Linked DNA regions of Lepisosteus oculatus. The protein of the gene in region 1 purifies or fractionates together with the protein of each later gene. This does not show direct contact. Links are inferred from orthologs where the notes say so. Each region holds a gene or a part of one and is shown in the gene's direction. Other genes may lie near its edges. The genes, in order: map3k4, gadd45ab and growth arrest and DNA damage-inducible protein GADD45 beta.

Region 1 (10,765 bases):
TTAAAAATTGAATATATTTCGTATAATTAACTTTAATTCATTCCAGTTGTATTAGCTATTCAGTTCCCAATTTTCTGAATTTATTACATTACAATTATATATCTGAGTTTAATATTTCATTTAAGCACAGGACAAACAGCTATTCTAGTATGCATTCACATTTAATTGGGCACTTGAGACTCCATTTCAACAGGCTCAATACACATTTACATTTAAGCATCCACAGCAAACTTTATCTCTCAGGGTAATGAGGCACTGTTTTTCTGTTGTGTGCATTATATATGCTATTATCTATCCTCCATATAAAATTCTCCTCAATTGGGAACAGATACAGCATATTCCAGTGGGTCTCTAGCACCCAGTACTGAATCTCTTAAAAATCAATCAATCAACTCCAGTGTTTGGAGTCAAGGTAGAGGATATGTTGGTGCTCACCCTCACCACCTGTGGCTGTTCCGTCAAGAAGTACATTATCCAGTTACAGAGGGAGGTGTTCAGTCCCATGTCCTGGAGCTTGATGACAAGCTTTGAAGACACTATGGTATTGAATGCTGAGCTGTAATCAACAAACAACATTCTCACATATGTTCCTTTCTTATCCAGGTGTAAGAGGGCTGTATGGAGGGCAGTGGCAATAGTATCCTTTGTTGACCTGTTCTGGCGATACGCAAATTGCAGTGGGTCTAGGGTGTCAGGCAGTGAGGAGGTGATGTATGCTTTGACCAACCCCTTAAAGCACTTCATGATAACTGAGTTGAGTGCAATGGGGGCGGTAGTCATTCAGACAACTGACTCTGGGTTTTTTAGGAACAGGGACAATGGTGGTTTTCTTAAAGCAGGTAGGAACTATAGACTGAGCTAGAGAAAGAGTGAACATGTCCTAGAAGACACCACCCATAGCACCTGAATGCTATTAGACATGTATTTCTGGAAGTAGAGACAGCACATGGAAGTGTATTGAAAGTTTTTTATGATTTTGAATTAATGCCAGCATTTATTATTACTACATTTGAGAATTTTATGTTTCAATGCTTTTCACTGCCACTGGCATACACAGTACAAATACAGGGGTTCTTCAAATCTAACTCCAATTTTATATGAAGTATTGAATAATGCACTGTATTTATCTGTAACAGCAGGGTTGTGGTTTGTGGGCACTTTGAGATTTTAATTTTTTAAATGCACTTTGGCATTTTATTGTGCAGACTGTGACACCATGAAAGGTCTGTCAAGTTATCAGTCAGCCTCAGACAGCAGGAAAAAAATAAAAGACTCTTCTCTGAGATATTATGCTAATCTGTTTACGCATGCTTTTGAAGATGAAGTGGAGCACTGAGTTTGTTACATACCACTAATATAATATATACCACTAATATTATATATGCATATTTAACCCAAAAAGAGTTTTTTAAACATCTGTTACATGTTACATTCTTGAGTATGTAAGAACATATATAGCTCTAGTGGCACAATCGGTCAGCGTGCAGTACTTATACAGCAGTGCACAGGCAAGGCCTGAGCAAGGGCCTTATCCCCAACTGCTCCAGAGGTCCTGTATAAATAGCTGACCCCGCGCTCTGACCCCAAGTTTCTCTCCCTTTCTGTGTGTCTCATGGAGAGCAAATTGAGAATTGAGAGATTGTATATGGCCAATAAAGTGATCTCATATAATAATTGTCTTGTCCATATTATGTATGTATATACAGCCATCAAGAGTGTGCTAATACTAAACGCACAGTATATCACTGTCCATTTTTTGTTAGCCATTTCTTTCACAGACACACATTACAAATTCTTAAGGCAGGAACGATGAAACTGATTAGTGTCCCAGTGGAGTGGTGCAAGCCCTCAGTTCATTACAGAACTTTTAACAATCTTCCCCTTGCAGCTGATAATTGGATTAGGGATCAAGGGAATCCTTTTTTTCTTTCCCTACTCAGTATAAATTAAATGACCTTTGGACTACAATGTCTAGGGGATGGGGAAAGGAAGAACTCAGAAGGCGAGTGTTTCATGTAGAAGGGTTCTACACCTCTTTAATGTCAGCAGTATATTAAACAAACCTTCACACACTGCTAACACACATTTTGAAGCTTAATTTTGTCTTGGTAATTTCTTTTTGCTGCAGGAGACAGGATTTCTCTCCATAACTTTCCATTTAAAGCGCAGAGCTGTAAGAACTCTGAGAAGGGGTGTGCGGGTTCACAGGTGATGTTCACTGTCTGACTCTATTTTCTGCCTGTGTCCCAGGGAGTGACTCACTCCTTATATCCCTGTAGACTGTGCTGCTGAGGCTGAGCATCAGGCAGGGCTTTGCTGAAAGGTCACCCTGTGGGAGTCCTTGACAGACCTGCTGCTCTCCAGGCTCCATGCTGTCAGAGTTCTGTGTCTCAGCGTGCTGCTTTATCACCCATTACAAAAAATAGTCTTTCGTATGGATGGCAGCAATTAAATTTATGTGTAGGGCGTCTCATTTCTGTCAGCTCACAATGTCTCCATGCAATAAATGGCTTGTCAGCTTGCATGAGGCAGAATGAATGTGTGTGCATGGGGGTGTGACTATGCATTGTATATGTATATCTAGGTTGGTGTTTGTGTCTCTGTGTGCATGCTCTGTTCCAAATTTATTCTCCTTACTTTTAAAATCAAAACTCTTAGAAAGAATAACCCAATGAATTTATTGTATCTTTATCAAATGGCTGCAGGAAATATCTTTATTTTGTCTTTTACAACTTTGATCAGTAAAAACCAGTAAAGACTGCAAATTACTTTACAGTCATTTATATACCGGGTTATATTCAGCTTAAGTGCTACAGTGCACAGTGTACTGATGGTCAGGGTCCGGGTTTTCACTACAATGTTGCTCCTCTGTAAATAAAAATACACTTACAAATGAAGTCATTTACAAATACAGACCTATGGTCCTCATTTCTATAAACAACAATAAAACAGTAAAATACAGTAACAGAACTACACTAGGATTATTGAGCACAATCCTATACACTTTAAAAATTAATCAGTCTTTTTATGTTGTTCAAGAAAACACATTCAAAAAGTTATTTTGCATCACCTGCTTCAGTTCATTAGGAACTGTCTATTCTCTCCACTGTCTCACACTGTTGGTCTTGGTTACAGTCCTCATTCACATCACTCCTGTTTCTCAAGAAACAAACTTCCCTTTTTGTATCGATAAACATTGTAGTATGTACAGTATATAATTAAGTTACAAATATCACATTAAATAATGCGAATGACATTTACTATAGCCTGTCAACAACTGTGGTCATATTCTTTCGCATATTCTTCCTCCCACATGAACTGTGCAGAAGTGACACCTTGTGGTTCAGATTGTTATTCTGAAGCAGTATCAAAACAGAGAATATTTAAAAATTTAGCCTAGCCCAACTCCATCCTCTGTATATTTATAACATGTTTTTTTTTATTTTTTAACAAAATAAAACATATGGGAAAAGCAAAATACCTAAAATGCTAAAGTATCTAAAGAACTGTTTTACTTCAGATGTCTGGCTAAGGTGAGGAGTAGGATATTGCAGTAAGAATTCACAATATTTCCTATTACACTAATCATTGTGATCTTTATTCTTTGATTGGCCCTTTATGCATACTGGATGAATTTTTCTTTGCACCACAAAGATCTTACAGAACTTTGACTGGGAAAAAATAGGTTTCCTTTCCTCATAATGTTATTCAAGAATAATATACAATTTCACAGTTAAAATGTATTTTTCTATCAGACTTAATCTCCCAAGAGCAATGATTGAATCTACTGTAGGTGCGAGTCATTGCTATTTACTGTTGCCAACTGGAACAATCTGCAGAGTGAGTTGAAACTATCCAACTTTATATCTAAGGGTGTTTTCAGTTTCATGGTTAACTCTTTTCTACCTGGCATTTTCTTCTTTAACACTGATTCAATTCCTTTGCAAAAATGGTGCTGTCCTAAGCTTTTTGTCAGCATGTCATTGCAAATGAAAATTTATGCTCATCTGATTTTACTTTAATGTGATGACTGAACTGTGTGATAGCAGGGTTACCATTCTCTAGCCCGATCCTGTTCAGTCTCAGAAACAAAGTGAGGTTAGTTCTGGTCGGTACTGCAATGGGTGACCACCAAGGAAGACCAAGTTGCTTCTGTCAGTGTAGTTGGTGGTCCAATAGGAGGCACTTTGCCATCTGGACAAGGATATCTATACCAATGTCTCATTGACATCTTTTGGATGAGATTAAAAATGAGATCCTGTGTGCTTGGTCATTAAAGATCCCACTCATCATAAGGGGATTGATGCCCATTAGGTAGATGGGTGCTGCAATTACGTGATGGATGAATTGGGCCCCCTCATACATTTAGTTCTGGGATCCTTTAGGGTGATATGTGGTATATAAAAGTAATTAATTAATGGAATAATTTCCCTTAACAGCAGTAGGGCTACTTAAGCTGTTCTTCTTTTCTTCATGTTATGTTAATGAGGAGAATTTGGGAATAAAACTGAAGAACAGTATATAAACTACATGATCAATGCTTAAATATGTAAGAATAATGTTCATATAGAAACAATCTGAAACACTGTCATCCCACAAGAACCCTCTCTGTCACATTGCATATACAAGATATTAGGTTTCCCATGGAAATGAAAAACTGTGGACAGAGCTGTCACCATTCTCAGACTGAATACTCATTTACAGTCTCTTAACATTGAATGAAGCATTTGTTCTGTTATTTTTTATTATTTATTTGTGGAAAATGTGCTATCTTTCCAGCTTCAGTATAATGCTGTAATCTGAGACAGAATGAGATTCGATTCCTTGCACAGCAGGCCAGTCGATTAGCAAACCAAAACACAGAAAGCGCTTGGAGCACAAAAACTGTTACTATGGTAAAACAAAACTGATGGATATCGCTGGTCTGTTTTGTTCTGGAGGTTTCTTTTAAAAAGAATATACGGAATACACTGAAATTCAGTTTGGTAATGAACTGATCAAATGAACACAGAAGGCAGGGCAGTGTAACTTGTAGAAATGCATGCACATATCACTTATCAGCGGTAATGCTTTCAATTTCCTGTCTAATGGCACAGCCCCATTTATTCATTTAGAGGATCACAATGAGGAGGAAATTGTTACTGTGCCATTCTCTCTGAGATTTTTTTTGTGTTCTTGCCAAAGCAAAATGATCCATATTAAGGTCTAGTTGTATCAATATAATACACAGCTGGGCAATCTCTTTCAGGTTATTTTATGAAAAAAATTAACTTGAGAGTAAAGCAATGCTATGGTTAGGTTAATTGAACTCATAATAGATAGGAGTACAAACATCACAGAAGGGATTTACTTTTGTGAGAATGTAGAAGTGTCTTAAGGAGCAATTAATAGATTCTTCAAACTTTTATATTATTAGGGTCTTTAAAAACTACCATCAAAACTTTTTGAACATTCAAATTACATTTAAGTTTAATCAAAATCCTTTAAAATGCAACTTATTACTTTAGCATCTTTTGCATTTGTCTATAGCTGTTCAGCCACTACCATCTAAGCACTTCACACACAGAAGATTACTCAATTCCCAGTTTAAAACATCACAAAATGGGGATATTAACAAAAACAATAATTTAAGAACAAAATATTAAAAGTAGACCGAGTTGGTCTGGCCTTACTGACATGATTCATTTAACAACTGTAATTTCAATTGAAAATTGAATTCATTTTTTGGTCCATTTTCTTTTAAGCCAATATATGCTTTAAAAGAATAATACATAATTTAACCTAATGTTAAAGTTGTTGAAAACATTTGGTACAATAAATATATGTACCATGTATATATGCATAATGTGTATTAAAAATTACAGTAGAAACATCGTATTCTCCCATGCGAAGCGTATTTCCTGGCCTTGTGCACCGGCAGCTTGATGAGCTGCTCTCTGCGGTTTATTAGTGCACGGTAGTAATTGCTGGGTCAGGGTATAATTAAAGCCTATCACACTAGCTCAGGAGTCGTCACGGTGGCTCTCTGATGTACTGCACGGGTTGCCGTAGAGATGAACTGCCTAGCTCCTTCAGTGATTGCTAGCAAGATGGCCGCTAAGCACAGAGAGAGGTGCCTGGGCTCTGCAGGGGGATAGAGACATTAGTGGGCTAGCGCCGATTTGGTGACTCTTGCGAAAAGTGCAAAACCCAGAAGTCTTCGCCCAGCCATGGCGGCTGTCATGCACATATAGAAAAATCCCACCCTCGCCCCAATATGGAGCCGGCAGCGTCGGGCGAGCGCAGCAGGTAAGCAAATCGCAGAAACTGGTGTGGTTTGAAAAAAAATGAACTACACAGCCGGGACCCGGCCCTTGCCACATTGTGATCTTACAGTGAAAACCAAAGGCATTGTTGGATTTGCGCTTGCGCAGCAGCTTCGAATTGCCTTCCTGTCAAAAAGTGATCAGCTTGCAGCTGCATCCTCAAGTGGTATAGTGTATTGAAGTTGAAAAGTTTTTGAAGAAAAATCTACATATATCTGCACGGGATTCCTGGTTCAGACAGAATATCGAGTAACATCATAAAAATGCTCACCGTCTAGAAAAGGTAATTACTTCATTCTAAGGCAGAATGCACGACAACACCGGAGGGACTTGTGTTGCAACACTTGCTTATTGTCTGCAGGATTTTCGAATGCACATTCCCAGTTGAAAACTTTTAAAATTAGATTGCATTGTAAAATGGGGACACAATGTAGGTGCACTTTCATCTTCTCTTTGAAGATTTGAATGCATTCTGTAGGTGAGTATCATTACCTTACTGAACGGTGATTTTAAAGATTTTCTTTCTGAGATGGTTCCTGTGAAATGTGCATATAACCAGGATTATCGGCTCAAAATGTACAGTATCATTATTGTAGTAACTCTGAGGGACAACTGATGTGAGACTAACGCAATCTGCTTTACTGGATCTCTGTTCAGCTTTGCTCAAATTCCATTTTGCTATAACCGGAATGCGCTCAGTATGGAGATCTTTTCTTAAGACTTATCTGCAATTGGGAACAGTCTTGGCACAGGTAGCATATTCTCTACAAATCCTGTTGCAGATTGTGGTGCTCAGTTGTATGAATGCTCTTGTGAAAAAGCAATACCAGTGCATCAAAATAATGCACGTACATCGGACAAGATGTTCAGGATTGTCTGGGGACAGTCGTTCATCCAGTAATGGTGTGTAATTTAGCATATCGAGTGTTTTTAAAGCAGCCTTTAGCTTTCGACAGTCCATGTCCTTTTGGATGCTTAGAAGCGGATTTAGAAAAAGGGCAAGACGGTCGTTACTTTCTTTCAAATGTAAAAAAAAAATGCATTTGATGTGATTGTAGAGTTTGGGGTCAGTTTTATGTCCCTGCGTGCATTTAAAAAACGTGCGATTGTTTTCTTTGATTTATGAGGATGCATACCGTCTACGTCATTGTGCAGGTTCCCAATGTGCTTTTTTGCCTGCTTCTCTTGTTTGCAATACAGGGAGACTATTGCTTAAGCAATAGTCATATTAATGAGTGTTTTTCCTGTTTTGCAAATTGTGTGCGCCAGTTTCCTACTTCACTGTAAGATTCGTAATTCCAGGAAACAAGTGTCAAAGAAAGATGACTAGGAAAAATGCAGATCCAGTTGCTGGAAGGACTAGATTACAATTCATGCATGAAAGTTTTATTTTCATTTTTGATTCTTGCTGCTTGGTTGTGGGTGTGATAATGGTCACGTTCTGCTTCTGATTCTTTGTTTCCATATTGACTTTGGTTTTGATATTTTGTAAATTAGTCTTTGAGAGAACTTGCTTGTGTATGTTGATGTAGTAGTTTCTTGTATTCATTTGCTCCTGTTTTACAAATACACCTGTACTTTGCAGTCCGTTTTACCTTTACTTTGCGTCAAGATTCCAGATTTTTATTTTTTGGATGTTAAACTTATTAATGTACACCAATATGTTGAGTGTGAATCCCATATTTCCCCATAGTTTCTATACAAGGGTTGATCAGAAATTAACATCACCTTTTTTAATTACAAAAATGTATTTGGTGCCTGAATTGTAGAGGGTATGATCATTTGGAATACTTCAGAATTCTGCACCAAGAAACAGGAAATTCAAGTCTTCGAGTACCAAAAGTTTCTTTTTCCATGACGCTTATTATTATTATTATTATTATTAATATTTTTAAATTGTAGGTCATTACTTTCTGTGCATTTTTCTTATTGTTTAAACTTCAGTAGGAGTGAAAAACAAAACAATAATTGTGCTGTAAAGTAATAGAAACAAATGTATTTTCTGTAAAAGAGTTATAATACTCAGCTGCTTGTCACAGGGGGAGCAAATTGTAAGTGGAAAGAGAGTAAAAACAGGGTTGTGTCAGCTTGCAGTCCTTGGTTGGTGATGCAGTGTGGAGGGATGCTGTCTGATTCATTGCATTGTTTGTATCATTCAAGGTCAGGAGGACCAACACCCTGTCGCACTGGGTCGAGGACTGAGGGTGTTAGAGGGGATGGTGGTGGGTAGAGGGTCCTGTGGAATTGTACTCCACATCTGTGGAAAGAAGCCAGAAAATCCATTTTATGGGTAGAACTCGTGGGCTTTGTCTAGATCACCAGCCAGGCTTTACATATGAAAGGCAGCAGGGGCAGCTTGTTTGTGTTGTTAATTTCTTGGCATTGTTAATCGTAATCTTTTCTAAACATCACGGCATGCCTTTTAGGCGTTACACTAGTGTTTTACCACACCAACAAGGACCTGCAGTTTTGTGTAGTGATATGACGGTAACCCTTTCTAACGGATGAAAGTGTCTATAGGTTTGAGGAATGCCTTTTGCCACACTTATTTGAACCCTTTGCCTGAGGACGTTTCACCTTTTCTTTTAGATAGATAGATAAGACTTTATTGATCCCAAAGGGAAATTGAGGAAATTGAAGTTTTTCGTTTTTGCATTTGTAAAAAGAAATTGTTATTGCCTGCAAGGCGCTAGTTGTACTGAGCTTTGAGCTATTGCACTATTAGTTTCAGACGTCCCTATAGTCCAGAGCGCTCTGGTCTTGCACTCTAGGCATGGGTGCCCTGCAGGGTCCAAGTGCGGTTCTTAACGGCACCTTTCTTTGCAGATTGTCCAGATAGCCATTTATAAACAACCAGCTTCTGAACTGGTCCATTTAAAACATGAATAAACTGGCTTAGATTATTAAGAGCTACAAACCTGCAAACACGCTACAGGACTAGGGTTAGAAACCTCTTCCGTAGACCTAGAGGCCGAGACCAGAACCAAATTACTTCCACTCCACTTAATGACTTCCTTGATTTCATTATGACTCAATTGTTTTTTAATTGTGTTGAGTGTACATGAGTTTGACTTTCCTATTAAATATGCAGGACATTGGCTCTCAAAACCAGGAGTGAGGATATCACTGTTGTAGATCCAGGACTGGGGTTACTCCCTAATGGCTTATGCTGTGTATTGCTGTGGCTGGTGCCATTTCTTCAACTGCGTTTAATGTGAATGTTATTTTTGCATATGACCTTCAGCCCACACTTGATTTTCATAGTACTAAGGTATGAAGGATGGGTGGTGTTTAAAGTGCACTTTGTCTTGTATTGTTACGACCCTATTAAAGACTGAAATTAAGCAGTTGGAAAATGGATGAATAGATGTTATGTTGCAGCAGTTAATACTTTAATGACCCTCATCCTTGACTTAAATTTTGGATTTCTATTTTTAAGTCTATTTTGGTTTTCTTCTTAGTTGTGTAAATGTTAGGTAACCATTAATAGAAATGTTTTTAAGCTTTAAAGCCAGGAAATTAATTAATTATTCCAGAATTAAACATACCAAAGCATGCATTATATATTCTAGTGCACAGCAGCTCTGCAACTTACATTTTTGCCAATCTGGCTACAAAGATTACAATTATAAACATCTGCTGATACAGCAGTTACTGACTGTTTTAAATTCAAGAGATGTTTCCTGCAAAATTTGATTTCTAGCCTCTTTTTGCTGTAAACCTAAACCCAAGAGCTTCTGCTCTATTCCGCTCCTAATTAGCAGTTAGACAGGTGTTTGCTATGGAATAGTACAGTGTTTGATTCTGAGTAGCTAGTCATGGTTTTTTGAGAATCACAGTGATTAATTCAACATATTTGTAAGAACTCCACATTCACCTTTCCATTGCTAGAAAACCATAGCTTTGTCATAGCAATTGTTAGTCCTAAAATTGCTTTATAGCTGAATTTCCGACTTTGATAACCTTCAACACAAACCTTGTTTTTCTCTTTTCCCACTCAGGCTTCTGGTTTAAATTGCTTTCCAGTTCCATGTGTCTGAAACCCCCCAACCCGATGCTGTTCTAAGAAATGATGCACTCGGCATCTCTCACTCTCTGAGTAAGCAGGCATATTTCTGAACCCACAGTCAGAAATAGCAGGCATTTTGTTTATACCAGCCAATTGGTTCAGTATGAAATGCATTGCGTCCAAGTGTTACCTTCCTATCTTTTCTGGGCATCTGTTATTAACCAGTTCCATGTGTAATACATTTGCATTTTGTACCTTATCTTTAAGTCAACAACACTGTTTTAATTTACTTTAATTGAGCAAAGTGCAAAGTCAAAGCTTGCTATATTAATGAAGATTTCCCCTTTGCTTGTTCTGTGTGTCACATCCTGATAAGAGTGAATTTGTTGTCAGTGTTCCAATTAGGAATGCTGCTGTTTTTCTTTTTTCTTGCTCTGTTTTAGTGGAGCAT
Region 2 (11,593 bases), on another chromosome or scaffold:
GTACAAGACCAAAAACTTTCTGGGAGGTTCCCAAAAGTTTTGATTCACAGCAGTCTGGCTTTTTGAAATAAATAAATGCCAATGAAATATTAATCTTGTTTGCAATCTCGAATTCTTCAACATTTTGTGTTTGAAGAACGTCAGCTTGACTAGACTGGGGTGAGAACGGAGAGGCACAGCTGTAGGCTGACCCGTTTTACCCACAGACTGAAACAAACGTTCCTTAGAAATCCCCATTTCGTCGTTTTTCTCATTTGAAAACTGAACTGAAAAACATCTGTAGCTAATGAGCAAGTCTATATTTATCTACTTCACCATCTTCTGAGGTGAACAAACTCCGAAAGTGGTTTCAGAAATGTAAATGTTTGCTTTCACGGGAAAAAAGACCTTGATCTGAAAACTAACAAATCCTTTTTTGGAAAACCATAATCAATTGTAGAATAAGTAAAAACTAGCAAAGCGTCTCTCTCGGTTTTGATTAGTTTGACTTCACGAGGTTGTACGCAGTTGCTTATTTAAACTAATATGCCAATTAACATCTTTAAAAAGCACAGATTGCATTACAGTTTAACACAAAAAAAAGAAACCCTACTGAATTTCTGCATGCAGGAGGAGAAAACCAGGGGTATTCGCTCAGACTTACGTGGTTTCTTCACAGTCTCTGGCCTGAAGGAGAGTGAACAGTCTTTCGCCCTGCTGTCAAAGTACACCTTCCACATCAGCCCTCTCCGAACCACAGCACAGCCGCAAGCCTGACCCCTCTCAGGGCTGGGCCTCTGCAAGCACGGGCAAAGTGCAGGCCGTTGAAACAGCGGCCTGCTCCCTGCCTTCAGGAATTAATCAATAGAGCCCTTAGTTTAACAACCCCTGCATCACAGGCAATTCCTGAAGGGCTTGTCATCCATGGGGAGCTCTTCAGTAGCTTCAACGTGGAAGTGCATCTGCACCACATGGCAGTGCATTTCGAAACATTTAAAACCAAAAGCAGGGTGCTTCCTTACACAGAGGGCGGTGGGAGTGTGGAACAAGCCGCTCAGCCATGCTGGTGGAGCCTGATACCCTGGACCGAGCACCGTAGAATGTATCCATAATGTACGTATGATTTAATATCTGCACTTTTTTTTTTACAGATCCTAACATTCTGTCTGTAGGAATGGGTGTTTTCCCCACATGGTCTAGAACAAGAAAACGATGCATCAACATAAACAGCTGAGTCTTTGTAGACTAAAAGGTGAACGCTTTGAGCCCAGTGTTTTCCACAGGAGTGTGTTCTTGTGACCTGCATGTACTGCGATACTGTACACACACTAACAAACGCCATTGATGTCATCCGACTGGTGTTTGGTCAATCTCGAATCTTGTGTAAGTATTTATGGAATTCCTTTGGAGCATTTTTAGGACGTTTTTTTTTCTTGCTCAAAGGCATTATTTTTCCTACAGGCTTAGGTGGATGGACTGTTGTGCAGATTCTCTCCTCGCACTCCACTTGTACTCCATCATTAGGATTACAGTTTTGCTTGGATTTTTTTTTTTTTGCCCTGAAACACTTAGTAACATCAAATCTTTCTTTGTTTAAAAAATAACAGAAGTGTAATTTTATCTTTAAGAAAAAAAAAACAGAAGTGTAATTTTATCTTTAAAGAAAAAAAAAACAGAAAACAATAGAAAATAACCCCGTTTTATAGGCAGGGGAACGCGGTCTTTAAATTTGACATTACCTGTAAGGCCCCAGCCTGAAACACTGGAGACGTCAGCCGAAAACGAACCGATTTCGCATTTCGATGATCTGTCTGTGAAGAGGAGAGAAGTTAGGATCAAATTGCTCTCAAACTTTCCATCAGACCAAGCGAGTAACGAGTCACAGAAAAGGGCAATCGCGGTTTCCTTACAATACCTACTGCAATATTAAAAAAAAAAAAAAACGTGTCCTCTGGAATACACAAAAAGTATAGTAATAAACACGGCCGGTTCTGACAGACTGAATATTTGCTTGACAATTCGCCTTGCGAAAATAACCGAAAAGTGGGACATTTGAATAGGCGCTGTAGTTTATTTTCTCGTAAGGGTCAATTCGATCTACGATTTTAAACGCATAACCGTACTTGTTACCATCTCTGCGTGTTTACAATAAAGCCGTTCGGATCAATAAAATATGCTTCCCTTCTTAAAAGGCAATAAAAAAAACTGTTAACACATAATCCACGCGTATACACAGATAAGTTCATGTTGTATTACATACGAGGTCAACTGCACCTCGTCTCTGAAACAAATATAAGGCCAAGAAGGCGTAGTGGTTCAAAAAAAAAACCTCACCTTCAGCAAGACCGCACCTGTCCGTTATCTGACAAAAATCACACCGGATTGCAGCAAAACTACTTGGGGGAAAAAAAAGTCGCTCTTCTTAAGAACTGGGAAAAAAAAAACAACTAAAACGTTATTGCTAACAAAACTTATAACCTGGTCGGTGTACTCACATTTTAAATTCTTTCTGAATTCTTTTGTGACGTTGAAGAGCTTCTTTTCTGGTTTTTTGTTTTAATTAATTAGATGGCAAATTTAATTATCATTCCGTTCATGTCCCGTAGACTTTCTCCGAAAGCGTCTCTGCCACGTAGGACGGAACCATTCTTTCCCGGCCGAGGTTTCTCGGGGAACTTCATCGTGTACCCGAAAATCAAAACGGCACTGGCTGCCCACCATGTGGAGAAGGGACTTAAGACATAAGTCAACTTTATTTTATCTGAAAGTGGATTGCACGATTCACACTTTTTCTAAAACCGATTATCATTCACATATGTCATGCGTTTTGAAATTTGCTGGGTTCTGTGTGGGTATGCTTTAATAAATCAGCCCGCTAGCTGGCGATGACCAGTTTGTGATGGATAAAATAACGCAAGGCAAAGTTTTGAATGTACCTCTGTGTTTAATAATTTATATATTATATTATGCAAAGGAACAAGTTATAGGTTTATTCCATGCTGAAAAAAAGAAGAAAGAGAACACAACGTTTCGGCCGTGGAGCCTTCTTCAGGTGTAGGCATTGAAACGTTTTTCTTCTATATTTGGAAAACCAGAATATGAAACGTCTGATGTGCTAATTTAGTTTCGGTTTTTTTCCTAGGTTAGTAATTAAGATGAATTAAGTGTTCAAGCTCCTTTCACTATCCCAAGATTAAATAAAAAACAAATAGAACGGTATTGAAAATCTTCCACAAACCAGTAAGGGCAAATTAAAGGTAAAAGATCCAGTTAAATTAGGAGAACATTAAATTTCAAATGCAGGTAGAAAATGTAAAAAGCCAGAGAGAGATGGAAAGGAATACTGCAGTGGAGGCTAAAATATATAAAGTTTCTTTCAGCCCTACAACTATAAAAAAAAAACATACCGCATGATTTTGGGAAACTTCTAGACAATGGGAGGGAAATGACTGATGTATTAAATTAATTTCTCAGTCAGGTGTTCACTGAGGAAGAACTCGACCACACGCCTCAGGCAACAGAAGGAATATGTTCTGTATTCAATGCCATTCACATAAAAGAAGAAGGCAGAAGAGTTGCAGGTCAGTGAAAATAAATTTCCAGGGCCCGATGGCGAAACGAGATGCTACTCATAATTAAGAGTCCTTAACACAGCTCTTGCAACAACTGCTAAAGAAGCGAACTGGAGAATTGTTATTGAAATGTATTTCCATACAAATGGTGCTCACACAAACAGTGACAGGACAGGAGTAGGGCACTGGCGTGCAGGGTTCTGGACCGGAAGGATGTTTGTTCAAATTCCAGGGGAGACCCTGCTGTTGCACCCCTGAGCGAGGTACTGCACCCATATAAATGTATAAATGGGCTGAAATATAGTTTGCTCTAAAGAAGATTTTCAGTCAAATACTGTAAATATAAAACCGCACCATGTTATTACAGACCAAAAAGTGTGACTTGTATTACATGTATGGTTAAAAAAAAATTATTGGAGCTAAACTAGGGGATCACCTGTACGGAGACAGACAACATTGACAATGTTTCCTTGGCCATGCTTTCCTAAAGTTCTATACCATAACTCTTAATGCATAACCATGCATGGACTGCGATTTCATTGTGGTTCACTGGACTTTTCTATGCTTTTACTCTGGTGTACCACTGTTAACATCATACGGGCATGCCTTTGATGTTCACATTAATTTTTACATTCAATAAGAAAAGGAGACATGATAGCTCTTGGACAAAATATCCTGATAAACTGAACCTTACACTGCTTGTATGAAAGCTGGCTCAGGTGCAAGTCTTGGGTTAAACAGGGATTCCAGGGTGCGAGCAAGGAGCACTGAGTGTGTGTTTGTTTCCTCAAAGGCCTCTCTGTTTGAGCTGCAGTTAACGCAGAAACCACAATTACAGAGGTGCCTTGAATCCTCTCAGCCGGGAGTGCCAGAAAAAAAAAAGACAATATAACTGCCAACTTGTGAAACAGAGCTGTGTCATTTTATTTTTCTTGCAATAAAGAACTGACTGGAAACAAGTCGAACAGTAGGACAGTCATGAGACGGCTCTGTGTCTGAACAGCAAGCGCTGTTTACTTTCAAAGCGTGGCGGGATAAAGGCCGGGCCAGTTTTGCTGCCTGGTTGTGTTTTCCAAGGCTCTGCAGTTTATGGGGACAGACTGGTGTTTTTATGTTTTAAGCTTGCAGTTTGGCTACAACGTTTAGCTCAGCAGCTTGACGTTAGTGGGTCACATGGTTTCCTGTTTCTGAACTCAGCTTCAGGGTGTTGGTGTGTTTTATGTTAGTCTGTGCAGTTCTAGGTCATACCTTTGACTGGGTTGGTGTGTGTGTGTTGGGGGTTCGTTTTTGCACCCTGTAATTCTTCACTTCCTTCAGTCTTTCCTTCTTTTTGAGTTCTTGAGCTTGGTGTCCCCATCCTAATTCCTAAACCCCAAACCAACTAACGTATTTATTGTAAATATCGGATATCATCACAGCTGGATACAAATTGCATCGCACCCAGTGGATTGCAGGTCAGATGTGGACATTTTCAAGTAAATAAATCCTGGAACAGTAAATGTTGTCTTTATTTGAGCAACACTACTTTCCAATACCTGGGAAGGGGTTACTGGAGATACAGCCTGTTTAAACCTTCAGTGGGCAAACTAAAAGCTATTAAGAGTCATGTACTGTACAGGTATGTGACCCTGATCCAACCCTAACGTCTTCAACGCTTCTGACAGGCTCCTTACAGCATCTGTGTACATAAATATATCAAGCGGGTCTTTATAGAGAACTGTTTCAAGGCCTTCTGTAACCAAAAGGAACATTTTCCATTTCACGTGAAGAATCCGAAGCGTGTGTGGGTCAGTGTAACCGGTGGACCTGATCGCAGGAGGAGTCCCGTACCGGTCGAATCTCGCAGTCTGCCAGGCGTCAGGGCTAAATTAATACAGTAAACAGCTCTCAACCATCCCTTTCAGCCTGTGGGGAGCCTTAAAGGACCCACATAACTCTCCAAGGTTATCCATACAACACTCTACAGATTAATGAGGTTCGTAGGTAAGGAAACTTCCTTTTTTGAATAACCTTCCCTTGTTTTGTTTGCAGAAAAAAATTAATTATTATTTGTTAGAATTTAACCTCCCCCCCACCCTCCCCACACACACACACACAATAGAAAAACAGCAATTTCCTTTAATCTTAAAGGCATGGAGTCTGACAACAAAGACTAATAAAAATAACCACTATTAATCCAGAGGCCAGCTGCCTTAGTTTCAGAAACATTATCACAACCATGCTGATTGATTTACTGACCGAAAATTGGGTTATCCGCACGCTGCATTGTATTAATATAACATTAGTTTATACTTTTATTTCATGTGGAATGAAATAAGGAATCGGTGAATATAGCGATTATGTTAAACGCATTTGAAATTAATTATGGACTAACCAATTTCAAACTGTTTTATGTTTTGTTACTTCAGATACCGGTGTAGAGGCCGTATCATGGGCCCTTCGCAGGGAGTATGGGGAGTTTCGAACAGCAAAGTGCGAGGAGGAAAATAAGTGTACCTATCGTAAGTCGGTTATTTTATTTTCTTTACGTTAATATCGACGTGTGTGAAGCGGCCGTGAAGAATCCGACTCCCGAGAAACGTCGTCCTTCGCACCCGCGCTCGGGGTCTCGCGGGTACCTGGTTTTTCGCGCTCAAATCCCCTGTGCCGCCTCGTGCCGGCCTGGACGGGCGGCTGGCCAATCAGGAGCCTGTTGCCGGGGCCCGCGCGGGTGCGCCGCCCGCCGCCCTCCTGCTGCCGGGTCACCGGACCGGAAGCGTCTTTTCACGAACTTCTATTTCTGCCTCGGAACTGCAGGCAGAGGCGTCTCGGAAAGCGCAGGACGTCGGTGGGAACGGACGCCCCCTGCCTTATTAACTCAGCGCGGGTTTTCAACTCTACACCCCCCTCTCCGTCTGCGCTGCCTTATATTTAATTTGCATTGTAATCCCTGTCACCCCGACAAGCACATTATTCGCCCACCAACGTCTGGTTCTGGCTGTGCAAATGACCCCATTACCCCGCTAAGGCAATCAATCACCACCCGAGTGGGCTGAGCTCCCTCGGTTTGGCCACTCGGGGTCGCCATTCACCAGATTCTTTCGACGTATTTAAACTGCAAATAAAGCGGCTGTCTCCGCACGCACCGCCCCCGGGGCTGAGCTGCACAGCCATCCCACTTGACAGTGCAGGGCTCCAATCCACTAACACACAGAAAAACTTATTCTCGGGTTCTCATTCCTGTCTGTCGGGGGAAACCTGCATGCAAATGAAACCTGCATGCTCTCTCTCTGCCTCTGCCTCTGCCTCTGTCTCTGTGTCCGCGCACGGATTTAAAAAGACGAGTTGTTGGACTGAGGCGCTGTGCACCGGGCTGTGGCTGCTGTAGGACGGAGCTCCAATCAGACCAGCCAGCCGGGGCGGCGAGAGCGCAGCGGCCCAGCCCTGCGGGGTCACACCTCCTCCCTCATTAGCACCGGGCCAATCAGCTCCCGCATGCAAATCGGGGCAGATGTAGTGCCGAGGTGGCGAGCGGCACAGCTCGTCCGCAGTCACGGAGCGCCTGTTGCACAGACGCGCACAGAATCGGGAGCCGCCGGACGCCTCGCCTTGTCTGGGAATTACTCTCCTTGGAGCAGCGCCGGGATTCCCGGGAGACTACCTCCACCTTGGATATTGTATCCCCCACCACCCCCCCACCTTCCCGGATCTGATTGTGCACCATGACTTTTGAGGAGCTCAGTGGAGATCACGCCGCAGAAAGGTGACTGCACCGGCGGCGGTAGTTTCAGTCCCGAGCCTACCCTTGTGTTTTGGACGTGTATTATTTTTTAAAAACAACAACAACAACAACAACAACAACGGTTCATTCATTCCAGCCCGCAGCACCCCTGTTGCTTTCCGAAAGCCAAGCGCGGACGGGTGTCTTGGGGGTGCAGCCGAGCCGGGTGCCCGTGTAGATCAAGTCGGGGGTCGCGGTGCGGCCGGTCTCGGGGACACCCGTGCGGCCGGGAGCTCGCGCCGCGGGGCGGGTTGCGCTCGCGACAGCCCGGCTGCACGCCGGTCCGGTCGGGTCCGGTCCGGTCCGGTCGGGGTTCCCACCCAGGTCGGTCCTGCCCGCAACCGTGGGCTCGGCTTCCGTGTGTCGTGTCCTGTGGGGGGGGGGGGTGTGCGGGGCTGCACACGGCGGAGCTCGCAGACCGTCGACGGACACCGTCTGTAACGGAAAAGCTGTTCAAAGGTCGAGGGGAAGTTCGGCCGGGACCGACGCCGCTTCTCCTCCTCCTTTGACTCACCTCTCCCTCCCCCCCATCCCTGTTATTTTCCAGAATGGATTCCGTGGGAAAAGCCTTGGAAGAAGTGCTGCACTCCGCGTTGCCGCAGGGATGCATCACGGTCGGGGTCTATGAAGCGGCCAAGTCGCTCAACGTGTGAGTTTCGCCTCCGCCGTGTCCGCTGCCGGTCCGGCCGCAGCCCCGGGGCCGGTCCGGGGCCGGGCGGCGCGCTGAGAGGAGGAGGAGGAGGAGGATGATGATGATGATGTTGTTGTTGTTGTTCTGCCCTCCTGTCCAGCGATCCGGACAACGTGGTGCTGTGTCTGCTGGCCACGGACGAGGAGGACGTCAAGGACGTGGCCCTGCAGATCCACTTCACGCTGATCCAGGCGTTCTGCTGCGAGAACGACATCAACATCCTGCGCGTCGGCAACATGGGGCGCCTGGCCGAGATCCTGGGGGCCGCCAAGCAGGGCGGGGAGCCCCAGGACCTGCACTGCGTGCTGGTCACGGTGAGTGTGCCCGCCCGCCTGCCCGTGCCGCTGCAGGGGAGCCGGCTGGTGCTCTCTGTGTCTGTTGGGGCAGAGAGGTGCAGGCGGGGGGCTGACTGGTCTCCACAGGCACTAACTGACTGGTCTCCGCCGCCGGCGCTGTGATGGTTGGTGCCTGTGAACCTCGGGGGGGGGGTTTGGGTGCCTGTCAATAAGCGATAACCCTGGGCCCCAGCAGGGGTGGCACAGAGCCGGCCGAACCCAGGAGGAGAGCAGCCCCTTCAGGGCCCCTGCAGCGCCCCCCAGAGGAAGGGAGCTCTGGGACTGCGGCCCTCTACACAGGGGTGCCCTCAAAGAGTGCTAAACAAAACCGCACCTATTCATATCCCCTTCTCCTCCTCTCCCCCCCCTAGAACCCACACTCGTCGGCGTGGAAAGACCCCGCCTTGAGCAAAGTGAACGGTTTCTGCAGGGAGAGCCGGTGCCTGGACCAGTGGGTGCCCCTCGTCAATCTCCCCGAGCGCTGAGGGCCGGACTGCGACGCCAGCCCTTCGTTTTCCTCTCTCTCCCTCTCTCCGATGAATTGCACTGGATTGCCGGAATGCTCTGCTGAGGAACTCAGGAGGCACAAAAAAAAAATGAAAAACACCACCACCACCACCACCACCTCTCACGCTGGTGGAAAATAACTTGCAGCTGGGCTGGGAGAGGCGGAGCCGGCCCGGCGGAGCAGCGGGCCGTGGGCCGGCGGCGTGACTCAGCAGACTGGGGGCCGGCCTGCTCTGCAGCAGGAAGTGGGCCGTGTCCGGGGGCTCATCAGCCTCGCAGGAGGGGATCTGTGGTTCAGCCGGGACTCTGAAACTGGACAGACGCCACGGGCCGAGCCGGTCCCCATTTTAGGTATTACAGCAGGAAACACGGGGTGTTTTGAGATTCTGGAGTTAATTATTACCGTTATCTTCATGACTATTGCTGTTGTTGTTTTTCTGTTACTCTTATTTAAAAGAGAAGCGCTCGGACCCTTACTTTTGGATAAGCAATGACGATGCCTTCTGCAGAATGCCATTGCAGTGAATTATTTTGAGTAAGAAACGTTTGACCGGTAACTTTTGTTTTCATTGCTGTTAAGTTATTTTTTTATTATATTAACTTTATTGTATTTATGTTGCCGTTTCTACCAACATCAGATTTGTTGAATAAATGGCTTGGACCTCGTGTTCGTGTGCAGGTCGAGTTCTCTGCCTGCCTGGAGCAGAGGAGACAGGGGAGTTCTGCTTCTGCTAGTGCCTGCAGGGGAGGATTTTGATGCGTTGGGACCGTTCACAGGGTTCGGGACAGAGGTTTTCCTTGTGACGTGGGCTGCACTACTGCCACACAGCCCCTGGTGTGGATTCCAGCTTGAAGTGCCTGTCCGTGGGGAGTCTGCGTGTTCTCTCCGCTCCTGGCACAGCAAGTACTGGCTTTGCTGGTGTGCAAGCCCAGCTGCTGCTCATTCCCCACCTAAGCCCAGGCCACCAGTTCCCTTCCTTGCAAGGTTTCAAAGATACTGCTGCAGTTTCAAATGCTCAGCAGCTTATCTGGCGCCTAACGCTAAAATCTGCTTTAGTTCGGATGAGGTTATCTGAGGCTCGGAGTGGGGCAGGGGAGGGTGTTATGCATGAAGTTACATAACGCTGCAACACAGGAACTTGCCAGTCATGACAGCTTAAGAAGATGTAGGGCAGCGGTGTGGACCGGCGGGTCCGGCCCTGGACGCGGGTCCCAGGGGAGACACCGCTGTTGTGTCCTTGAGCTCGGCACCTCGCCTGCGCTGCTCCTGAGCGCCACCCGGCCGTGGAACCGGCTGCGGGCGGACACGGCTTGGGATAAATGCAGCAGATGAAGGGAAAAATAAACCATTTGTGCGTGCACGTAAGATCATAGGCCGTGCAAGATAAATTGTCCAAAAAAGCAGCGCTTGGTTCTTCTGTTTCCTTCTGCGCTGTTCTGGATGGCCTGAAACTGCCCCCACCCGTCACCTGAAAGTGGCTGAAAGCTTCAAGGTGTTTTTTGTTTTGTTAAGAACAGCGGTTATTTGCATAATGAGACATCTGATGTTACAGCTGGGGATGGCGTGGGCTTTCTTTCTCAGGTTTGGTCAACACTTCATTTCGGAGTGGAGTGGTGTGTGTGTGGGGGGGGGACGACTTTGGGAAGAGCTATTTAAAGCAGCGTGTGAAAATACCCGACCTTGACTGATAAAAGCCCAAGGTCATAAACTGGAAACGAAAGGAAAGAACAGGATTTGGCACTGAGAGCGCACACACACGCACACGCACGCACACACGCGCGTTTTTCCATTGTGTGTTTTGTGCGAACTGTACAAAGGACAAAAGCACCACAGCCGGGTCTCCATGGAGAAAGAGCCCCGCTGACCCCGGTCACGGACACCGTCATTCGGAAACTTCTCCGGGTGTCGCTCTGTCAACCGGCTTCATTCTGCAGCCCGCGGCGCAGCTGAAAGCGGTGCGATATTATACCGGCCTTCGGCGCAGATGGCGAAGCAGTCGAGACCGGACACTCCAGCGTGGATGTGGAAAAGCGCAGTTTGCGCAGCGCTCGTCCCGCACAGGAGCGGAGGCGGGACGAGAAATGAGGCGCAGGAGCACCGACAGTGCCGGAGAGAGCGGCACCGTCTGCTTCAGGGGTCGAAGGCTGTCGAGACCCTGTTCGCGAATAGCCCTCCCGTGTCAGTCACGGGTCTCTCCTCTGCTGCGTATTATAGCGCTGTTATCAGCAACTGAAAAAAAAGTATTTTGGCCGCGACGAGACGTGCAGGTTATCATTAGAAAAAAAAAATAAAACTGCATGACGCCGGCTTTCGCAGAGGAAAAACAATTTACTGTTGGTCAGGTTTTGGACTGAGTGCGTTACGTGTATGAAAGTCTCACACTGCCAAGAGATTAATTTCAGGTTTAAAGAAAAAAAACAGAGAGAAGGACAAACAACGTTTCTGGTGCGTGAAGGAGCCTCTGCAGACTTAAACGTTGCATTTTTCTTTTTCGGTTTCCAGCGTGGAATTAAGCTCGCCTTGTTACGAGCAGCTCCCACGCTGTCGAGCCTCTTCAAATATCACAAACTACGGTATACACAGTCTCAGTCTCAGTCCCGTGAGACTTTTTCATGAGAAGGTCTCCTAGCATCACCCCCTGACGCAAGGGGATTTTCTCATGAAAGCCCAAGAATGACAGACCTCCATTAACCAAAGCCATATCGCAGGGACACAGATAGTCTTTTTTTATCAGAGCAGCGCACGGGC
Region 3 (10,429 bases), on another chromosome or scaffold:
CAGTTACATTAATCGAACTATTAACATTGTGCAGGTAGAGACAGGCGCATTAACTACAGAAATATAATTATTGCAAATTGCAACTAAATGTTTTTAAAACAAAGCGCGACCTCGCAAATATGTCAAGAATTGTACTATATTCTGATGCTTTTTACTCTTATTATACTATTGACCTTGAACAAACAAGGCTATGAGGCCTTCTAGAATACACATATTTAGTCCTCAAGTGTATCGACAGACGTTTTCCAGGGTTCTAAAGGTTAAACGGAAGTTATTAACCGAAGTTCGAGAGGGGTAATAATGACGTGTTGATCACTCTAACAGCTCACCGTATTATTTTACGTACCAGTATTATAAATACTGGTAGTAGCTAATTACTGATCCGATTTTAATGTAAAGCATTACACTGGACACTCCACTCAAAGCGCTTTACAGGTAATGGGGATTCTTGATGACCACAGAAAGTCAGGACCTCGGTTTTACGTCTCTTCCGAAGGACGGAGCCTTTTTTTTACAGTATAGTGTCCCAAACGCCATCATCAGTAAAGCATTATTTGAATATTATCCCCTGTTCTTAGAGGTACTGATGCTTTTTTTGGGTGCCCGAGGCTGGCGCTCTTGGCGTTATCGTGCCGTCCTGCCCGGTCAACCGCCGAACGGAGTCGGCAAGTCGGCAACGGTCAGGTGGTGTTTCATTCGTAAGAGACCAGCCTGTGAGCGAAAACAGACGCTCGCTTCCTCGGTCTCGGAGTGTCCGTGCCGGAGAGCCGGCAGTGCGCTCTGGACATGCAGGCATTGGCCCAGAAACCAGCAGCCCGGGGCTGCCAGGGAGCCAAGCGAGGAGGGCAGTACAAAAAGAAAGTCAGTTTTCCAGTTTTGTGTGTGCCTGTGTGTTTTTTTTTTTTGGCGACATTCTATCTTGGGCTTGTTGACTCGGCAAAAAAGCTATTTCTGTTCGACGGCTAAGATTAGACCGTCTATTTTTTGCGCGTTGAGTACCGGATTAGCCCCGCGCCTGACGGCACCCTGCAGGCGTGTAGGAAGACAGCATCACCCAGTGCGGCCCCAGGCTGGTCATGGCCACGGAGACGAGGCTGGCGGCACAGGAACAGCTACTGAAAAAGAGAGAAATAAACACGGTTCTCTTGTCACCACCGATGTAGGAGTGGCGCGATGGTGCGTTTTGGGAAATATTGCACCTGGTGGCGGTTCCAGACCTTATCATTGAAGAGGGTCTACAGGAAAGATTTGGCTGGTGAGCTAAATAGGATGATAATGCTCTCCCCATTTTAGGATTCAACACAAAAAAAATAATCTAAGGGCAGAGACTTGCCATTATTATTATCCCAATTAGCATTAATCTGATGTTTTCGTCCAAATTTGGCTGTGGACTAAGTCTCTGACTGATGCTGGGCAGGCATCTTTACATCTCTCAGATCCAAGCTCAAGAGAACTGGGCGTGTGAGCTTACCGCCGAAACCTCTGTCAATGCCATCCTGAATCACTTGTTCAAGAGTTGTTTTTTATCTAAATTGCTCGCATGCATGTGCAAAGCAGAGCGCTTTTAGAAACTGAGGTGTGTTCTGCTGTGCACTTGTCCCCTGAGCTATCAGTGAAACGTGCAGAGAAGCGATCCGAAAGGACAAAAGGAGCGCCTTAAGGCTCGGTCCCATTTGAACACTCCACACCAGAGGCCGAGAGTTGAGGGATGGGTGATAACGACCTTTGCAGCAGGTGCCAGCCAATCCTGAGATTAAGGTCTAATGGCCCATCACAGTGTCCCTGAGCCAGCCTGTCTCATGTAAACGAGCAGGTCCGCACAGCAAGAGGGCACCGGAGCCACGTGTGTGGATTGGAGACCAGGGCCTCACTCAGACAAGGGGCAAAGGCCAGATACAACCCGATTGGCCGGTTTCTGATTCAGCCAATGAAAGACATAGCTGGTAATCCCTCAGCAGGGTTTCTGGGATAGGAAGCAGGGGCTAAAGTACCTTTCAGGAAGCGCTGTGGGTATCAGAAGCGAGCTGCCTGGGCAGAGCACACAAGCTGCCCCCTGGGAGGTCTTCTGACAAACCACTGGGTGAAACTCCGGGACCAACAGGCAGCAGACTTCCAGGTAAGCACCAAGGCCCAGTGTCTTTCGCCCTCGTGTCTTTCGTTGGGGCAAAAGGAGAAAGGAAATGTCTTCTGTCAGAAGGCTTGTGGTACCTTGTGTGAGCTGCAGCTGTGTGCTGACAGGCCAGCTCCTTCTGTTCCCCTCGCTTGGCTCACTGCAGCTCCCCGACGAACACTCCTCCTGTGCCCAGGACACAGGCAAGGTGAACAAACCTCACATTGAGGAATCGGAAAAGCAGCCCAGCTCATCTGATTCCAGTCACCTTTTAGGGTATTTCCTGCTATTTCCTGGTCCAGGTTTGTTTTTTTCTCCAGAAGCTCTCATTTTCTAACCACCAGGAGTTCGGGAAGGGCACTATAAACAGGGGGTCACAGGTTCAAATCCACCTGGTCCCTCCAACTGGCACCTTCTAGCTACTCCGTGGATCCTACTAGTTGCTTAGTTGGTCGGAACTTTATCTCCACGCCAGTGAATATCATCAGTGTTTTATCAGTGTTTATTTTCTTAGAAAATGTTTTTAGCCATTTAGAACTTCAGAGCACACTTTCAAAGTGTTCGAGGAACTCCAGATCAGCTCCACGGCTGAAAGCAGACCTGCTTGCAGTTTTCCCCGATCCCATGATTTCCAGGGAGAGCGCAAGTTTGAGCTGTGATCGGAGAGGTCGAAGGTCGGGCTTTTAGCACAACTTGCTGTGCCGTTTACTCACATCTATAAAGAGAGCTTTCAGACCGCGACTTATGAATCACAGGGGCCCTAACAAAAATGTCTATGGCACACTGCATTTTACATCGAATGCTAAAATAGTTTCTTTTGTTCAGGGCAATTCCATGTTCCTTTACAAATTACTTCTGGTGGGGGGAGGCAGTACAATTGAGCTATTCTTGTACGTTCTCTTCCGTGCGTGGGTGAGAATAGGCACCAACTTGCACAAGGAGACCCGAAACTCGCCCACTCCTGACTGTTTCCACCACTCGTGTGTTTGTGAATTTCAAGGTGAAAGACTACCTTGTCCCAGTGAAGCCGGTGAGCAGCCGTGGGTATCGGGGATTACCTAGCGCTGTTGCACTGATGTCGGTAGCGTGAAATCGACGCCCAGACAGAAGGAGCGCAGATTCACTGTCAGGGGATCAGGACAGTAAGCGATCGTGTTGGCTTCGTATGAGCACTGTCGTGCGAGTACCGGCCAGCTGCAGCCTTCGTGCACCGATACCATTTTGTCAGACCAAAGTGCTGAAATATTTAAAGCAGTTGTGCCAGTCTCGAGGGACACGGAGAGAACCCCCAGTGTCTGACTCGGTACCGCACCTCCGCGGGACACTTCTCTCCCGCTCCCCGACCACATTCCCAGGTAGACGAGTACAGGAAATGGGATCATTTGTTGTCTATGCCCTCCTCTGGTTAAAATCGAGATTTAAAAGCGTTTTGATGCGACTACAACAGCAATATATAAAATTCTATGATTTGCGACCCTGTTTTCACCTCTTCCTCAGATTAAAGTAGACGTCTTACGGTAGAGTGACGGTCATCTTTACGGATATATCTGCAGAAGATATATATATATTTGATATAAATCTGCAGAATGTCGTTTTTTGTGTGTCGGCGCGTCCGGTTATAGTCAGGACAGTTAAGGAGCGCTAACTCCATCATGACACCGAGCCGGTGTTGTTTGTTTCGGGGGTCAGTAGCTCCACGGTGTCGGCAGCGCTGATGGCGATGGTGACTAACAGACGTGATCGACTCCTCGTTCTGTCTGGTTAATGACTACATGATCGGACTGACTCATCCCCCACACACAGCCCCCTTCAGTCCGTGTCTCCGCAGAGAATGAAAAACACGTCCTTCCCTCTCACACACACACAGAACAACAACAACTGTGTCCAAACACCGTTAAGAGCAAGACCAAGCTCGCCCCGGGCTCGGTTTGAGGTGTGTGTGTGTGTGAACACTGCCCTGCTAACACGAGCAGAACACTCTGTCCTGAAGCACCGACCTGCAGCCTCGCAATTCCGACTCTGACAAAAGAAAGCGCCTTCCTCCGTTTCACACCTCGCTCAGGCGCTTGGCACATCAACCTGGATTTCCGAACGAAAAACTTTGAACTTCTTTCCGTTTCTTCATTTACATGTGTCGGGCGCTTGCTGTAACCGGCTGTTAACAGCTCCGGTGGCGCCTCGCAATTGAAATATGTGATTTTACCAATACGATCTCTAGCCAGGGCGAGAGGCGCCTCGCTTTAAATCGTGGACACTTCAGTCGTCAAGTTTGCCATCATTGAGAAATGGATTTAGGAAGCCGCTGACCTCGATTGAATGCCTTGCTACGTCTCATCCTACCCTGTACGTGGCAACCGTCTTATGCTATTCCAAACACATGCGCTCCAGAAGTATCTCGACATCAGTTAAGGTTATTTCTTCTGAGTCCTTCAGCGAAATTCACCCATGAATTAAAACCCGCGTCTTTTGAATTGAAATAAAAATGAGAGATCACGAGAAAAATAAATGACCGCTTACATTTAAAACATACTCATGCGACAGTCAATTAAACACATACAACTGACCCTATGAGACACTTCAGAAAGACGCATTTTCTCATTTTCGCCTGGAAACAGTGACAGGCAGGTGGCAGCACGGCTTCAATTATCAGTTGGCTAAATGCGCCCACTTTCCACCAGAGGGCGATCGCGGGCCGAGATACTGAGCCCCGCCGCGAAAGTGCAGCGTCACGCAATCCGGTTCAGACTGTTAGCAAGTTGCCGTGCTGGGGAGCAGTTGTTAACTCAGGGCATGTTAGCCACGTTAATCTGTTACTGTTATCATTCGTAGCAACCATTTTGACTGCATTTCATTGCAAATTGCTCTTTCACACAGCAAACTGTTGCAGTCAATTTATTTTAAAGATTATTTTTTTTCTTTCCAATAATAGTAAAATTATTTTTTTGTGTGCAAGCCTCACGAAAAAACACAAAACGTTACTTAACAGAAGAAGGGCAAATAAATTGTGAGGGCTATTACCCTGGAATTACCTCATGCTGGAAAGTTCATGAAAGTTGCGAGGCGTTACAACATGTACCTGCAGTGACTGCCTGTGACCACTAGGGGGACCCCCCGATAACAAAGTTAACGTGGAGCCGGTTTTCATTTGAAAACTCGGGGTTGCTGCAGTGTGATTTGGACAGTTGCTTATCAACAGTTACTGTGCACGGCACACAGCAATCGCAAAGCACAAAGAGAACACCAGTCTGCATCTAGCATTGCAACTCTTCCTAGTGTGCTTACTAAACCTGTTTTGTTGTACTGAAATTAAAAACCGATCGTGATTTTTCATAACTTTGTTATGGAAGTTGGGCCACCACAAAAACCAACAGAAATTAGGTATGCGAACACTGAAGCCCAGTGAAGACAGCGTCAACAATGTAGTGCGTGTCTCTGCGCCTCGTCCATGAAATCGCAATTAACCTCACAGGAATGCGGACGCGACGACGCGCAGGTTATGAAAATTCCAGGTAACACATCTAGAAATCCGGTCTTGCTTTCTGGAAACTAAACGTTGGAGGATGCTGCAGGTTAAAAAAAAAAAACACCCCGATACATCTAGAATAATACATGAAGTCGGATCGCGACAAGTTAATCATATGACATTCTCAGATGAGGCTGTTTTATCCTGTCACGCTGCCCTGTCAGTTGCACAACGCGTCCTCGGTTCTGCATGAGGCGCAAAGTCCCCCTCCTAACACGAGGAAAGTCAGGTGCTTCCAAAAAAGACGCGATCATAAGATAAGCCGAGTGGGGTCTGGTGTTGCAGTCCCCTTGCTAGAGAAGAGACACTGGGCCAGTACAGAAGCACGCAAATCCCCGAAAAGTATCACTGTATTGCTTTGCAAACACCTTTCAAAAGTTTCATGCAAGCGAACAGGTCCTCGCTGTCGACAGAGCTTGCAGTGAGCCGACATTTCAGATGTGCTTTTATTTACCGAAGCTCCTGCAATTATTTTCCTACTATTTTCACTTTTGTTCCCGAGTGAAAAACGGCGTAAGGAAACAGTCCGGGAATTCCAGAGGATTCGAAATTCAAACAAACACGGGTGAATTTCTTTGAGGGGGGGGGGGGAGAGAGAGGCTATCGCGCCCCACGTGGGCTCAGAGCGATACGTTCGTACGGGCCGCCCAATGGTTGCAAAGGCTGAGCTCGCTCTTGAAATCCTCTGGCCAATCAGAGCAAAGGGCTGCAGACCCGGCCTCGCCCACATGAAAAGACAATATATAGTCGTCTGCCGCCGAGAATATCCCAGAAACTAAGCGAGCGGACTTGGATATACAAACCGGTTTATTGTAACTCAGGCGATCGGACTCGGTTACAACGACTCTGAGCTGCAACGTTTGGATTACTCAGCCAGCGAGTACCTTGTTACACGGGATTTTAACTTTGGAGTTTATCTGGACATTGTGGATTACAACAATTTATATTTCAACATGACTCTGGAAGAAGTCGTTGGATGCAGTATCGCTGACCAAAAGTAAGTAAACGCTCTAAAGAAGTTTTGAGTTTCACTCACCTGAGCGCTGTGCTTTGCGACTGCACCTTGTAGCCGGGTCTCTCTTTGACTGTGTAGGGCTGCACATCGGCTCCTGCGAGCTCTGAACAGCTGGGATCGCGCTTAGCAAGTCCTAACCTCGGCTCCCTGTTCTCTCTTGCAGGATGGAAACCGTGGCGCAAGCTTTGGAAGAGCTGCTGGTGACGGCTCAGAGACAGGACAGCCTCACGGTGGGGGTCTACGAGTCTGCAAAGCTAATGAACATGTAAGTATCCGTTCATCTCATCGGCCGGGTACGTGTGATGAAGAGTCGAGGTGTCTGTGCTTCCACGTCTTGTATTATTGCACCGTATTGTGCGTTAGGGAGGTTGCAGAGGAGTGCAAACTGAAACTTAGCGAGCGGGGCGGTTTGCAGAGCCCGGTGCCCGTGTAGTAACGCTGTATCTCCTCCGCCCGCAGCGACCCCGACAGCGTCGTGCTCTGCATCCTGGCCACGGACGAAGAGGACGAGGACGACATCGCCCTGCAGATCCACTTCACGCTGATCCAAGCCTTCTGCTGCGACAACGACATCAACATCCTGCGGGTGTCGGGCGTGCAGAGGCTGGCGCAGGTGCTGGGCGAGGCGGGCGCGGACTGCAACGCCAACGAGCCGCGGGACCTGCACTGCCTCCTGGTCACTGTAAGTGTCCTACAGCGCTGTGCCCGGGGTGCGGGAGGGGTAGCAGACCAGCAGTCGTGGCTGAGACGCAGGAGGTGCTCATTCGCGGTGCTCATTCGCATGCTGGGCATGTGTCTCTTCAGTCCGGGTGCAACATTCAGAGCTGGCACCCGTGGTCCAGAATCGGCATTTCTTAGCGAATTCGGGGGCATGCAAAACGGGGTGGGAGGTCCGGGGTTGCTCGGAGCCGCCCGTGAGACGAGCCGGCAGCTCGGCAGTATCGCGCGTCACATGGCCCCGTGCTTTCAGTTTCGGGAATACAGGCCAGCGTGCTAATGATCCGCCTTCTCCCCTCCCAGAATCCGCACACCGACTCCGGGAAGAGCCAGGCGCTCAAGGCCGTCGGCAGCTACTGCGAGGAGAGCCGCTGCCAGAACCAGTGGGTCCCCTTCCTGGCGCTGCAGGAGCGCTGAGGGGCGCCGGCGCCCCAGCCGAAGCGGAGGACAACAGCGACATTCTCGGGGGAAGGAAGGAAATAAATAACTAAAAAAATGTTAGGGTGTATTCAACAACACACACACAACCGCACGGCCCTCGGCTTGCAACGAGCAGTTGGAAAGGAGCTGGGAAAGAGTGGACGGGACAGGGCCGGGCCCGGAGGCCGCGGTCTCGCCGCAGAGCGGAACAGCCCTGGCGGGGGACGCCGAGGGGGAACCCGGCGGGCCGGCGGGCAGGGCGGCGGAGCAGCGCCGTGGTGCGACGGGCAACCCTGCCAGTTTCACAGCGCCGAGGGGGTGGCGGCGGCGGGAGGGGAGGGGGGTTAGACTGTCGTGACGATTGCCTTGCCTGTTGCAGTAGGGGAGACGTGACACAAACCCAAAAAATCCCCCGGACACACACGGTGGAGAGGAACGGCGCTCTGACTAACATGCAAACCGGCAGGAGACGGCAAACAAGAAACCTGTGGGAGTGTGCGAGCAGAGCGGGTTCAGCCGCTTCCCAGTACACGGACTGCAAGTGACTTTCAAAGCTCATGTCAGAACCCACACCAGCACTCCCGCTGGTTTCGCAGCGATGTGGGTGTTGAGGGACATTCACATGAGCAGTGCAAGCTGGGTCTGGAATGTATTGAAGTGTCGAGATGAAATAATATATTCATTTTTCTATTTATGAACGTGTTTTCGAATGCCAGTTTTCACTTGTTTTGTTTTTAAATAAATTATTTGGATTGGAAATTGAAGTTCTTGTCTCTTTCTATTGGCTCTCATGCTGATGTGGCTCTTCTGGGGAGAATGGGTGGGGGTGCACCCCCATTGGTGGGTTTTGGGGTTCAACATTGCACAGTAAACTCCAACAGTGTTTCAAACTATTGCACTCGTAGCAGTGTGCAATAAGCATACATTTATTATCCCTTTGTGTTATAATTCAAGCTCATCCTCTTATTGCAGAACAGCCTAATGCTTCAGGAGCTGTTCTGGCCTACAAAATAAAGATTCACTAACTCATTGAAGTGAGGCTGGATCTCACTTACAGAAGCAGAGCTCCAGTTTGGAATAGTTCCCAGGGTACAAAAAGGGCACCTCGCTCACAAAGTTGCATTTCTAATCCTGTTGCAAATTTTCTTTTTCAAAAGACTTGCAGGTTCCACAATTATGAAATGAAAGGACAATGGGGGCCTTTTTTTCCCAAAAGGGATGTTTGTGTGTTCTGGGGGAGGAGGGTGAACTATTGCTTTGTATGCACATTTCATTTTAAAAAGGAAATGTTTCCGATACAATACCCTTTTCAGAATTCAGATATCAGGTGCTTTCCTCAAGGACAGAGCAGGGGCTGCAGAATGTGGGATATGAATGTCTTTGGGGCTCGGGATAAGAGCTTTCTCTGCTTGTGTTGAATGCATCTTGCTTTGCAACTCTGAGGGTCCACGCAGAAGATGCTTCAATAATCTCTGACCTTGTAGAGTCCCTTGAATATCTGCCTGCTTGTTATCTCAGCTGTCCCACCACTTCAACATAGCTATAAACCTTCTCCTCCATGATGTGTGCAGTTCTGCTTGCAGAATACAGCAGCCTTCATCCAAAGCCAAGGTTACACGAGTTTAAGGATCTTTTTTGGAAGATTGGAATCTCGCTGGGACCTACAGCCCTTCCAGGGAGAGAAAAAAGGGATTTGGAGAGCTTAGCCACATGAGCTGCTGCTACTGTGGATCTGGTTAAACTCAAGCTTCCGAGTTCAAAGTGAAATTGGCTGAATATGTTCAGGAGACTGAAAAAGCATGCAGGCTCAAGGCACTTCAATGCCAGCTTGGAAAGAGTGATCTGTGATTCTGGGCTGCTTGGCAGATTTTCGGTCTAGGCTGTACATCCGCAGGGAGCCCATGACTGCTCAGCAGGAACGTGCACTACCCAGTCACAGCAGTAAAACAAGTAGCCAGGAATGTCCTTGGTTCTCAGTAGCGTCATTTCCTTCAAGACAAAGCATTTTCGACTCTCCACCTTGCAGGGGAGGGCTGAGCCAGTGACGCAGGGCTGCTGTTTGATTTGGCAGGCTGTCTGGGCTCCGGACAAGCCAGCAGGCTGTTAGCAGCACCGGCTACACGTTCACTGGGATCCTCAGTGTGCTGTTAAATACACGACTGCAAAAGCTGCGATTATCTGGAGACTGTCCCCTGACAGGAAGCCACAGACTCCCAGCTAGGCAGCGTCTGTGAAAGATAACAACTGCAGCTCTATAAATCCCATTTCCTCCATGCTTCTCGACCGGGGCGGAGTGTGTGTTAAATTTAGCCGCCGTGGAAGGTGGGCCGCTATGGCAGGAGTGGAGCTCCGGCACGTTAGCTGTGGCTTCGCCTCACAGGACGAGAGCCGTGTGTCGACCAGGAGTCTGCAGGCCTGGTCCCGGAGATCCGGTCTTTCCCAGTTTCTTTCCAGCCAAGCGCCGAGTGCGCTTGATTGGATCAACCTGTGGCTTCATTAGGAGGAGTTAACTGCTTTCCAGATCCGTAATCATTGATCATCTCAGGCAACACGAGACGCCTGTAGCACCTCCGCTTTCCAGGACAAGGACTGCAGACTTTGTACCTTCTGGGCCTGCAGCAGTATCAACGGTTATGCATTTATT

Evidence for each region.
Region 2: the proteins of map3k4 (region 1) and gadd45ab purify together in Homo sapiens (co-immunoprecipitation; 3 studies listed by BioGRID and IntAct, with this or other methods). This does not show direct contact. The link is inferred for Lepisosteus oculatus from reciprocal best matches to the Homo sapiens genes MAP3K4 and GADD45A.
Region 3: the proteins of map3k4 (region 1) and growth arrest and DNA damage-inducible protein GADD45 beta purify together in Homo sapiens (co-immunoprecipitation; 3 studies listed by BioGRID and IntAct, counting the BioPlex papers as one, with this or other methods). This does not show direct contact. The link is inferred for Lepisosteus oculatus from reciprocal best matches to the Homo sapiens genes MAP3K4 and GADD45B.

Annotation. Positions count from the first base shown.
Region 1 is NC_090712.1:11,611,531-11,622,295, forward strand, and holds the start of map3k4 (mitogen-activated protein kinase kinase kinase 4), read left to right. Parts: upstream 1-6,069; 5' UTR 6,070-6,256; coding exon 6,257-6,288; intron 6,289-6,452; exon of another isoform or gene 6,453-6,588; intron 6,589-10,765. UniProt on the Homo sapiens protein: Component of a protein kinase signal transduction cascade. Activates the CSBP2, P38 and JNK MAPK pathways, but not the ERK pathway. Specifically phosphorylates and activates MAP2K4 and MAP2K6.
Region 2 is NC_090704.1:2,050,652-2,062,244, reverse strand, and holds gadd45ab (growth arrest and DNA damage-inducible protein GADD45 alpha), read left to right. Parts: upstream 1-7,026; 5' UTR 7,027-7,252; coding exon 7,253-7,293; intron 7,294-7,570; exon of another isoform or gene 7,571-7,635; intron 7,636-7,858; coding exon 7,859-7,960; intron 7,961-8,102; coding exon 8,103-8,316; intron 8,317-8,708; coding exon 8,709-8,822; 3' UTR 8,823-9,510; downstream 9,511-11,593. UniProt on the Homo sapiens protein: In T-cells, functions as a regulator of p38 MAPKs by inhibiting p88 phosphorylation and activity.
Region 3 is NC_090724.1:1,677,311-1,687,739, reverse strand, and holds growth arrest and DNA damage-inducible protein GADD45 beta, read left to right. Parts: upstream 1-6,416; 5' UTR 6,417-6,586; coding exon 6,587-6,630; intron 6,631-6,811; coding exon 6,812-6,913; intron 6,914-7,107; coding exon 7,108-7,330; intron 7,331-7,668; coding exon 7,669-7,782; 3' UTR 7,783-8,544; downstream 8,545-10,429.